Callithrix jacchus: one gene and its partners. The protein of the gene in region 2 interacts with the protein of the main gene of each other region in a pairwise test. Links are inferred from orthologs where the notes say so. Each region holds a gene or a part of one and is shown on either strand. Other genes may lie near its edges.

Region 1 (3,500 bases), on a different chromosome or scaffold from region 2:
GCTAACCCGTGACCACAGCCCCGCTGAGGCGTGAGTGCGTTTCTCAGAGTGAAGTTGATGGCTGTCACGCTCACTCCCGACTCGAACGTGGCCCCTTCACAGACTAAGTCCCAGGTCGCTTCCTCCCCGCAGAGGGCAAGGCTCCTATACATAAGGCTGGACTGCAGCAGGAGCCACCCCCGAACACGGCCTGAGGGGAGCGGCAGCCCGGGCCTAGAGGTGACACAGGCACTTCCAGCTGCGACTGGCACCTACTGAAGACACTAGCACTGTAACGCATACACTTGTTGATGTGGACCTACCTGTCACAGTGAGAACTCTTGGAGCTACTCCGGCCGGACTCATGCTGGGCATCCAGCAGTATTTTTTCCATGTCACCATTATAAATAGAAACCGAGGCTGGAACACTGCTCCCGTTCCCATTATTGCTAAAGTGCAATTCTACCCAGGAGCCTGGTGGGGACAAAAAAAGGGGCACAGCTGGATTTTCTACCCATTCTGGAATCTGTTCGTCCTATCTAACCAGCTGCCCTTCCATTTCCAAGAGGTAGCATGTGACACACCCAGAACCATCCCTTAAGCCCCAACTTTAAGGCATCCCTCTGCCCACCTGCATGGCAGTGACTGGTCTATGCATGCTCTCCCTGGGTACAGGAAGGAAGCCCCCTTGGGGTTGAGATCACATATCTGTCCATCTCTTACGGTCCCTTTATACCAAACCAATGTCCAATAACTCTGCCAAGTCACCAGAATCCAATTAGAAGAATACTTCCTTACAGTGAATTTTATAAGAAACAGCCTGCCAGGGTGTGGTGGCTTACACCCGTAATTCCAGCACTTTGGGAGGCGGAGGCAGGTGGATCACCTGAGGTCAGTTGGAGACCAGCCTGACCAACATGGAGAAACCCCGTCTCTATTAAAAATACAAAATTAGTGAGGTGTGGTGATGCATGCCTGTAATCCCAGCTACTCAAGAGGCTGAGGCAGGAGAATCACTTGAATCCAGGAGGTGGAGGTTGCAGTGAGCCGAGATTGCGCCACTGCACTCCAGCCTGGGCAACAAGAGCGAAACTCCATGTCAAAAAAAAAGGTAAGCTTAAAGGATTTAAAGTTTTCTTTCAAAGGTTTATATTATCTCTATTTTTTGTTTCTTTTAGAGACAGGGTCCCGCTTTGCGGTCAAGGCTGGAGTGCAGTGGCACAATCAAGGCTCACTATAGTCTCAAACTCCTGGGTTCAAGCCATCCTCTAGCCAATGCCTCCAGAATGACTGGGACTACACGCATGTACCAGTATCCCTGGCTATTTTTTTTTTTAAGAGACGTGGTCTCGCTATGTTGCCCAGGCTAGTCTGGAACTTCTGGACCCAAGCAATCCTCCCAGCTCGGCCTCCCGATGTGCTGGGATCACAGGCACAAGCCACCATGCCCAGCCTCTATTACTTGTATTGTGTGGCTTTGCAGTTATTTAATTTCTAATGAGGGTGAACACGTTTTTTACACATTTACTAGCCATCTGGATAGCATTTTTTTTTTAACTGGCTCTTCAAATCTCTTGTTCTTTTCTATTATCTGTGCTTCTCTTATTTGTGGGCATCCAGCAGTATTTTTTCCATGTCATCATTATAAATAGAAACTGAGGCCAGAACGAACGCTGCTCCTATTCCCATATGGCTCAAGTGCAGTAATTCTAGGATAATCCTATATCCTAGACATACGTTTTTCTTCATTTAAATACATTGCAAGTAACTTTCACTCAGTAGCGCATACTTTTCTCATGTCTTCTGATATATAGAAGTTCTAGAGATTTTAATTCAGTCAAATTTAGCAATCCTTCCTGAGCTGAGATATTCTATTCTATGACTTTCACACAGCTCTGTTACGACATTCACATTTAGATCCAGAATCTACATGGATTAATTTTTCCACTGATGTGAAACGAATGTCCCATTTACCGCAGACAGCTCCCGCCTCACCCCTGCTCCGGGCTGCTTCCTTTGTCGGAAATCAAGCGTGCATATATGCACAGGTCTATTTCTGAGCCCAGGAGTTTTTCTGCTTTGTGCCATAGGTTTATTTATTTAAAGCAAATCTGGCAGAAGCTTCCTCTGGTAGCATATGGAGGGTGGAGTGCAGGAGGAGGAACGTGCAGGCAGACCATGAAAGCCTGAGAAACTTACGTGCGAAAACAATGGAATGATCTCATTTTGCAGTCACTATAATTGTATTAAGTAGAATAAGCACCAGGAGCTGCTGACTGTCCTTAAAGCAACACAGCACTACAGAACACCATGCCACTGTGCGAAGGGAGTAGCCTGTTAATCCATCACGTTCTGTGGAAGCAAAGGCAGGTGCACAGCTTTCCACGCACTAACTAGGCATCTCCTGAAAGAGGCCTGGCTCAGCCTCAATGCGCCACTTATCACAGAGTATATTTCATATTAGCCAGAAAAGAAGCAAAGCGAAGGCCCAGGAGGGAAATGTGGATTTGCAACTTACACCATCAGCAGCCTCCCAGTAAGCTGCTAACAAAATGACCCCAGATTTCCAACTGCAGGCATGATCCTTCTCTTTGGCCTCTCACGTTGCCTCAGGTCCTGGCCTACGCGAACATCGCTAAGACAAAGGCAGGCCTGGGTCTGTCTTGGAGCCTGGAGCTCACTGGAGAAGGGCCCAGGCCACTTGGCCCCACACTCTGGCAGAGGCTACACGGTGCCATCAGAGATGTACACATCACACCATCCCTGAAACTGCTCATCTCATTAGTATTTCCAGATACTACAATGCCACTAGCCTTCCTTCCCTCTGGAGTTGATGGTGACATGCGGCCAACTGGTCCTTGGAACAGCACCGCAGCCTCTGCTTTGGCCAGCTGTTTTTCTAGGCTCAGTCTACAGCACTCATTCTGGGCCTGCTTCAGTTTACTTGGCTAAGGTGAACGGTTATTCATCTTATGACACGGAACACAAATGGAACTTGTGTGTCTCTTCCACGATGCCACTCAACACCGTCACCCCCACCACTGGGGTGTCCACAGTTCACGTCCATTCTGTCTACCTAGAGTTAGTGTCGGAACCCACGAGATTAAGGGCTCAGTCCCACAAAACTGCTCCCACAGATGCAAGCTGAAAATGGGGCATCCAGATTACCCACAATTCTACCCGTCCCTCTACTCAGGGGATCCCACGCACCCCCTCAGGTTCAACAGTTTGCTACAACTCACAGAATCCAGAAAAACACTTTACTTACATTTATCAATTTACCAGAAACAGTAATTCTGGAGCAGCCAAATGGAAATGACATATAGACCAGAACCCCAGCTATCCCAAATGTCCAGACCCTAAGCCCTAAACCCAACCCTAACTCTAATCCAAAACTAACCCCAACCCTAAATTCACATGTACCAACCCTAACCCTAACTAGGCTCTTCACGACCAGACCCCCAGCCACTCCACATGTCCCAACCTTAACCACGCTCTCCGCACCTCATATGGCTCCAGAA
Region 2 (4,238 bases):
TGGCCAGGCTGGTCTCGAACTCCCAGGTGACCCACCTGCCTGGCCTCCCAAAGTGCTGGGATTACAGGTGTGAGCCACCATGCCTGGCCTCCTCTGGCCATTCTCAACCAAGACTGGCAGGAGCTGGCAGATTAATACCCCAGTTCCCCCCACCTTGAGAGGGATCACTGAGGTGCATCTTTGCCCCTGGCTTCCCCGAGGGCCCCAACAGGGCTGAACTCCACTTGCCCACAGCAGGAACCTGCGTTTAAGGATCCTTCTCTTTCCAGTCTCATTTCCCTCATTCCCCGACCACTGTTTCCTGGGATCACTCCCAGTTAAATCTACTTGCCCTCGAATATTGTCTTAGAGTCTGATTCTGGGGAATCCTAAACTAAAACACCCCCTTCATCTGGTTTATATCTTCATTTTATGGATGAAGGATCGGAGGCACAGGAAGGGGAGTGAATTGCCCAAGTCAGAGCCAGTGGTAGGGCCCTACTGAGAGCCCCGTTCTCCTGGTCTAGGTGTCAGCTCTGCGCAGTGTTACTTGCTGCCTCCCAAGGGCTGCCCCTGCACCTGCCCCTCCTACTTGCACCCACATGGATTCAGCATTTTATTTCCCAAAGCAAAAGAAAAGGCTGATTGCAGGTTGGAAAATCTATGGGCGTCAGAGGCAGGTGAAAGGGGATCCTCCCTAGAACTCTTGAGCTCATTTCTGGAGGTAGCCATCTCTCCTTTCTTGGTCTGGGTCATTGGACTTGGCCCTCAAGCTTCCAGGTTTACTCAGCAGTGGGACAGGCTGCTAGGGAAACCCACTCACTGGGAGCGTAGAAGGGGTTATTCAGGCAAGCAACCAGCCCCCCTCCTCTTCCCTACTTCGGGTGCCACCTCAGGGACAGTAAAAATTCACATTGCCACACTTCTAAAGAAAATAATTTAAAGTTATATTTGCTTTATACTTTTAGCGGAAAGTGCATATTCTTTCAATCTGGATTACCTGTGTTGTTTAACAGAAAGAACAGCAATGAGAAAATGACCCCTGCTTTCTAGCCACTGAAATGTTAATTCCGGGAGTTTCTACCTGCATCTTCATCCCCCTGGAACCAGAGCTCCTCCGGTTCTCTCGCTGATGCGGAGGAAAAAGCACTCTTGAAAAGTTTCTGGGTTTCACCCCTCCCACCTACTGTGCGACCTGGGGCAGTTTCTCCCTTTCTGAACCTCTGGCTCTTCATCTGTGGATGGGGATGAGGATTCCAGCCTCGCAGTGTTGCTGTCAGACGGCAGAGAAGGAAACAGCCTGGCCAGAGCAGGGCCCTCTTGCCCTTGCCTCTGCTTGGAAGGCAGCTGGGAGGGAGGGGGCTGCCCACAGGGAGGGTGTGGCCCAGGCAAAGCTCCTGCCTGTCCCTCCTCCAGGCTGCCCCTGGTGACAAGGCAGGGAACCCATGCTGAGCTCTCTGCACACAGCCCCAGTCAGGGAGCTGAAAGCCGAAGACATGAACAAGGTCTTCCCCGAGGTAAGGGCTGCCTGGACCAGGCTCCTGATCTTGGGAGAGCAAACCTTGGGATGAGGAGTGTGGGCAGTAGAGAGTGGGCATACATGGGAGACATGGAGGAAAATCAGCCCCCGTCCTGGCCCGGGGCTCACTCCCAGGGTGTAGGGGGCCCTACCAGTGACCCAGCTGTAGAGTCCAGGTGGCAAGTGCTGGGACGGACACAGAGGAGCCGGGTGGACAGGAAGGGAGAGCGTTAGCTTTACTGGGTATCAGGGAAAGCTTCACCGAGGAGTCGCTGCCCACGCCAGTTTGAAGGATGAATATTTGCCAGGTGGACAGCAGAGGAAAAGGCGCCCCAGACAGAGGGCCCAGTGCAGGCAAAGGTGTGGAAATGGGAAGCCGGCATGAGGCATCTGGGGCGTTGAGCGTGCTGGGGTGTGAGGGAGCCACGGTGCCACCGAAGACTCTCGGTGACCCCTTCTGAAAGCCCTGCTGTCTGCCTCCCTGAGGCTGGACCTCACCTCACCTAAGCCCACCCCTCACTCTGTTCTCTTGGGCAGGGAGAGAATGGCCGCATTGCTGCTGGACCCAAGGCCCTCCCTGGAGGGGAAGGTAAAGAACTGAAGGGCCCAGGGCCAGTGCCCTGTGGGGCTCCCTTGAAGCTGGCAGTTGGCTATAGAGGCATGAGGAAGGTTGGAGGATTCCAGGCTCCCGCTGCCCCTCAGACCTCTGCCCCATGTTAATGTTGTCTGCTCCCAGCTTCCTGGTCAGATGCTGACAGTCACTTGCTTAATAGGGTTATTCATTCTCTCCATGCACACATATTTATTAAGCACCTACTGTGTGCTGCCGACCTCACAGGCACCAAACTGCATTCAGTGCCCACCTGTAATACAGCATCAAACTGACTCAGTGGGTGACCTGGACAATTCTCTTTACCTCTGAGACACATTTATTTAGCCCTACTATGTGCCGCTGGCCCACAGTGTGACCAGAACAGTTCTCTTTACCCTTCTGAAGATAGAAGGAAGAAACAGACATGTATTGAGCATTGTATATGCCCTGGCGTGGCCCACATTTGATCAATGAGGAGACACACCCAGAGAGGTAGATGAAAATACCAACTATAAAGGACCCAGTACAGTTATGTGCCTGGCACTGCATGGCCCCTTTAATCCCCAGGACAGCTCTGAGACAGGGGCTCTGTCATGGGGCAATCACAGATAAGGCAGCTGAAACTAAGAGAAGTTGGGTAACCAGGCCAAGGTCATACAGCGGGGAGGCCGGAGGGCCAGGGTTCAAATGTGAACTGAGGTCTCTCTGGTTACAAAGCCCCAGGGCTTTTGTTGCCGCATACCGGTGTTTGTTTTTTTCCAAGTCCTGACTCATGACGGGTGTGGTTGTGGCAAGAATAGCCTCCTTTTCCTCATCTGTGCAGGGAAGGGACTGGCACCTAAGGGCTTTCTGGCTTTGAAGCGCAACAGCTTCACCTGGGCAGGAGCCTTGGTTCTGCCGGTTCTCCCGTGGCAACATCTTGCACGTGGTCTGTGCTGCACAAATATTTGAGGAGCTGCTTGGCTGACCAGCACACCTCTCCCTGCCCAGAGTCACGCTGCCTCCCTGGTTACCTGAGTTTACCCTGTTTGCTGACGGCCACAGAGCCACCAGCTAGGGCTGTAGGGATGACGGGGTTTTAGATTCCTGCTGCCTTGAATACCATCGTATCCCTCCCAGCGCACATCCATCCTGGAGCCCCGCCACGCCAGGCCACTTGTGCTCCCCCACCTGCAACCACCAGACCTTTCCACTTGCCACGCCCTCTGCCTGGAAGCCCCTTTCTTTGCACCATTCCCTTACCTGCCTGTGGAAATCCCACCCGGCTTCTGAGGACCCTGCATCAGAAATGTGAATGGATTGAAAATAACTGACCCATAGTGGGGGCCTTCCCTTGTCTCCTGGACCCCTGGGCTAGCATATTCACAGAGTGTTCACAAATCTCTGGGCCTGGCACGGTGGCTCACACCGGTAATCCCAGCACTTTGGGAGGCCAAGGTAGGTGACCACCTGAGGTCAGGAGTTGGAGACCAGCCTAGCCAACAGGGTGAAACCCCATCTCTACTGAAAATACAAAACTTGGCCAGATGTGGTGGCAGCCACCTGTTATCCCAGCTACTTGGGGGGCTGAGGCAAGAGAATCTCCTGAACCTGGGAGGCAGAGGTTGCAGTGAGCCGAGATCATGCCACCGCATTTCAGCCTGAGCAATAGAACGAGACTCCATCTCAAAAAAAAAGAACCCCCCCGCAAAAAAAAAGCTCCCACCATGTGCCTGGCTCTGGGCTGGGTCCTGGGGTCACAGGGTGAATCATACCTGCCCCTGCCCCTTTCTCTGAGGTACCTGTGGCCTGGGCAGGTCAGTAGCTCCCACGCTCCTTCAGACATGTCCATGCTTTGCCTTCTAAGTGCAATAACAAGCTGCAGAGGGCAAGGACCAGAGCTGGAGCCACACAGCGGGGCACCAGGAGGTCCTTAGTAAAGGCTTCTGTTATTATTTTGTAAGCAGGAGAGAATTAAAGTACAGTTTTACAAGAGCAGGGACATCCCCTATCACTGTGATTTCCAGTGCTTAGAATAAAGCTTGGCACGTGGCAAGTCCTCAACAAGCAATAACAGCCCAGACACAGCAGTGCGCAGCTGTTACAGGACTTTGGGAGGCCGAGGCAGGAGGACTGTTTGAGCCCAGGACTTAGAGTGTGCAGTGAACT
Region 3 (3,500 bases), on a different chromosome or scaffold from region 2:
TCTTTAAATGTAAGAAGGACATGAGATTTGGGAGGGGCCCAAGGCTTAATAATATGGTTTGGTACTTTGTCCCTCCCCAGATCTCATCTCCAATTGTAATCCACATGTATCAAGGGAAGGACCTGGTTGGAGGTGATTGGATCATGAGGACAGTTTCCCCTATGCTGTTCTCATGATGATGAATGAGTTCTCAAGGGATCTGATGGTTTAAAAGTATGACACATTCCCCTCCTCCCTCTTTCCTGCTGCCATGTAAGACGTACCTTGCTTCCCCTTCACCTTCCACCATGATTGCAAATTTCCTGAGGCCTCCATAACCATGAGGAACTATGAGTCAATTAAACCTCTTTTCTTTAGGATTTATCCAGTCCCAAGTAGCTCTTTATAGCAGTGTGAGAATAGATTAATACACTGTGTTTTAAATGTAATATCTATGTTGTAAGTAATGGCAGATTAATAAAGATCAGTATGTTTTGGTTTTCTAGTGTCAATCTTGGTCTGAAATGTTAAATGAAAAATTCCAGAAATTAACAATTAAATGTGTGTCTTTCTGAGTATCATCATGAAATCTCATGCTGTTCTACCCTGTGCCTCCTGGGACCTGAATCATCCCTTTGTCCAGCACATCCACACTGCCAATGCCATCCATGCTATTCACTTTGTAGCCATCTACAAAGTGAATAGGCTATCAGATCAACTGTTGTGGTACTGCAATGCTTGCATTAAAGGAAACCTTATTTTACTTCATAATAGCCCCACATCGCAAGAGTAGTGATGCTTGCAATTTGGATGTGCCAAAGAGAAGTCATAGAGTGCTTTCTTTAAGTGAAAAAGTGAAAGCTTTCAACTTAATAAGGAAAGAAAAAAATACGCTGAGATCGTTAAGATCTACAGTAAGAATGAATTGTCTATCTGTTAAATCGTAAAGAAGGAAAGAGAAGTGCATGCATAGTATAATCGAGGTTCAGTACTATCTGAGAATTCAGCCATCCCCTGGGGGTCTGGGGACTTATCCTCCAGAGATAGGGGGAACCACTGTATACTGTCTTAGGTATGCTGAGGAATTGTTAACTTTGTATATCTGTGATAATGTGAGAAAGTTTGTGGGTTTTTTTGGAAACATACGGAAGCATGTGGAATAGGATGACATGATGTCTGGAGTTTGCTTTAATATTCCTTAGTAGGGAAACAGGCTAGATGAAACTAATGTGGTAAGATCTTGATAATACTGGAATCTGGGTTATGGCTACATGAAGGGCTATAATACAATATTCTGTACTTTTAAATATGTCTTCAATTGTTCAGTATGGAATACTTTTAAATGGTTTTTTGAGATGATACAACAACATAAAAACTAATGATGTAATATTACATGAAAGCATCTACATCCAAAATTATCTGTAGAGTATAATTTATATATACATATAAAATTCATGTGGGATGGAAGAAATAATTTGTCACAGATTGTGATAGAGCCTTGAGACTAGAGTAATATTTTTCCTACTAGCGTTTTCTTCAGTGTTTCTCCAAGGATTTTACCAGGAAGAAAATTTAGGGGAAACACAACAGAATATGCTTTATCACAAGGCACTGTAAATTCTCCTCACAGGGAAGGCAGTGAAGGGGAATACAAGGAAAGTTTTTGTCCTGCAGAGAAATGTCTTCATTTTGGCCTGGTAGTAAACATATTAAGATAAAAAGTCTTGGTTCCACAGGAGCCTAGCCCAGTATCCCTATTTGCCTGGAAAGACCAATTGTCCTCACCCAACCCAGGACGTCCACCCAGGAGGAGCCATGCTGCTGGTTCTTACCAGAACTCTCCAGGATTCAAATCTTTTGTAAAATCCAAACAAGTAAGACAAAAGGAACATCAGGGAGATGAGAAACGAGGTGACTGAGACATACATCACCCATCCTTGCAGCAATGGGTTTGCTACCTGGGTGGCAGCTACCAGGATCCAGACCCAGAACCCAAATATCTGGAAGATAAAAGCATAAAAGGAGCTTCATTAGCTAGTGTGGAGCATGTTTCCCTTTGCAGGGCATCTCTTTTCTGTCTCTAGTTAAAAGCTCAGGTGAAGTGAGGAGGGAACCAAGAGAGAAATGGGGAAGTCAGTTTGGCCCCTCCGAGTCACGGTAAAGTCAGGTCCTATTGATAGAAAATTCAAGGGGTTAATGCAGAGATTGTGAACAGAGGGACTCTTGGCCAAGTCTGGCCTGTGAATGTGCCTTCTTGGCTCAAGCAGTATTGGCATATACACTTTTAAACAATTCTGAATAAGTTGTCAACATTTAAAACAGGATATTTCACATGAAAAAAGCCCAGATTTTGGACATTTCTTTAAAAATCCATGGTTCTGGCCACAGTGTACCCATTTCTCAGGCCAGAGTAGGCTGGAATGAGTAGTGACTGTTTCTTTAAAAATGACCTGGAGTCCTCAGTGAACCATATCCCCTACCCCACTAACCTCACATCATGCTGTGGCACATTCCCAGTTGCTCACTGACACTGTGGAATTGTTTACTAATGACATAGAACTTATTTTTGTATATTCATTAGCCATTAATATTTTCTCCTCTATAAAGTTTTTTTTGTCAGTGAAATATTTTAAAATAGATTTTTCTTTTTCTTATTGATTCATAGGAATTCTTGCTAATAGTGCGGCTTTCTTGGACTGTCATAAACATTGCAAATCTATGCTGCTAACATGCACATACTTCATGGTTTCCTTTGATAACTAAGCCCATAATTTTAATGCTGTTGAGTATGTCAATCTGTTTCTTTATCATATTTTTTATCAAGTTTAAGAAATTCTTCTCTATTTTGAGTCATGAAGATATTCTTACATCCCAGATTGTCCTTCTGAGATAATTTTCTTTCTTTCTGAAATGTACCCTTTAGTCGTCTCTTTAGTGAAGGTCAGTGGGGAGTAGTCAATTTGATTTATTAGAAAATGACCTTACTAAACACTGGGGTCTATTGGGGGGAAAAGGGGAGGGCCAGTGGGAGGGGGAGGTGGGGAGGGATAGCCTGGGGAGAAATGCCAAATGTGGGTGAAGGGGAGAAGGAAAGAAAAGCACACTGCCATGTGTGTTCCTACGCAACTGTCTTGCATGCTCTGCTCATGTACCCCAAAACCTAAAATCCAATAAAAAATTAAAAAAAAAAAAAAAGAAAATGACCTTAAATTTCCCCTGACAATTATTTTCTCTCCACACTTCCAAGATATATTTCCACTGTGTTGTATATTTTTCCATATTATTCTGTTGCATTCTAGCTTCCACTGTTGTTGTTGAAAGGTCAGCTGTCAGTTGAACTCTTGCTTTGTAGAAATCTGTATTTGTTATTTGGCTGTATTTAGTCTTCACTCTGTCTTTGGCATTCTACAATTTGTGAAACAATGATACAATGTGTCAAGATGTGTATATCTTTTTATTACTCCTGCTTGGTATTCATTCTACTTTCAATACCTGAAAATTCCATTCACTGGAGCCTTAAT

The links.
Region 1: the proteins of LDLRAD1 (region 2) and BNIP3 interact in binary tests that used the Homo sapiens proteins (3 or more experiments, as listed by UniProt). The two-hybrid records come from large-scale screens. The link is inferred for Callithrix jacchus from reciprocal best matches to the Homo sapiens genes LDLRAD1 and BNIP3.
Region 3: the proteins of LDLRAD1 (region 2) and MALL interact in binary tests that used the Homo sapiens proteins (3 or more experiments, as listed by UniProt). The two-hybrid records come from large-scale screens. The link is inferred for Callithrix jacchus from reciprocal best matches to the Homo sapiens genes LDLRAD1 and MALL.

What each region holds. Positions count from the first base shown.
Region 1 is NC_133513.1:125,276,604-125,280,103, forward strand, and holds part of BNIP3 (BCL2/adenovirus E1B 19 kDa protein-interacting protein 3), read right to left. Parts: intron 454-3,500; coding exon 303-453; intron 1-302. UniProt on the Homo sapiens protein: Apoptosis-inducing protein that can overcome BCL2 suppression. May play a role in repartitioning calcium between the two major intracellular calcium stores in association with BCL2.
Region 2 is NC_133508.1:91,206,253-91,210,490, reverse strand, and holds the start of LDLRAD1 (low-density lipoprotein receptor class A domain-containing protein 1), read left to right. Parts: upstream 1-1,438; 5' UTR 1,439-1,475; coding exon 1,476-1,496; intron 1,497-2,035; coding exon 2,036-2,087; intron 2,088-4,238.
Region 3 is NC_133515.1:21,272,423-21,275,922, reverse strand, and holds part of MALL (MAL-like protein), read right to left. Parts: intron 1,980-3,500; coding exon 1,812-1,979; intron 1-1,811.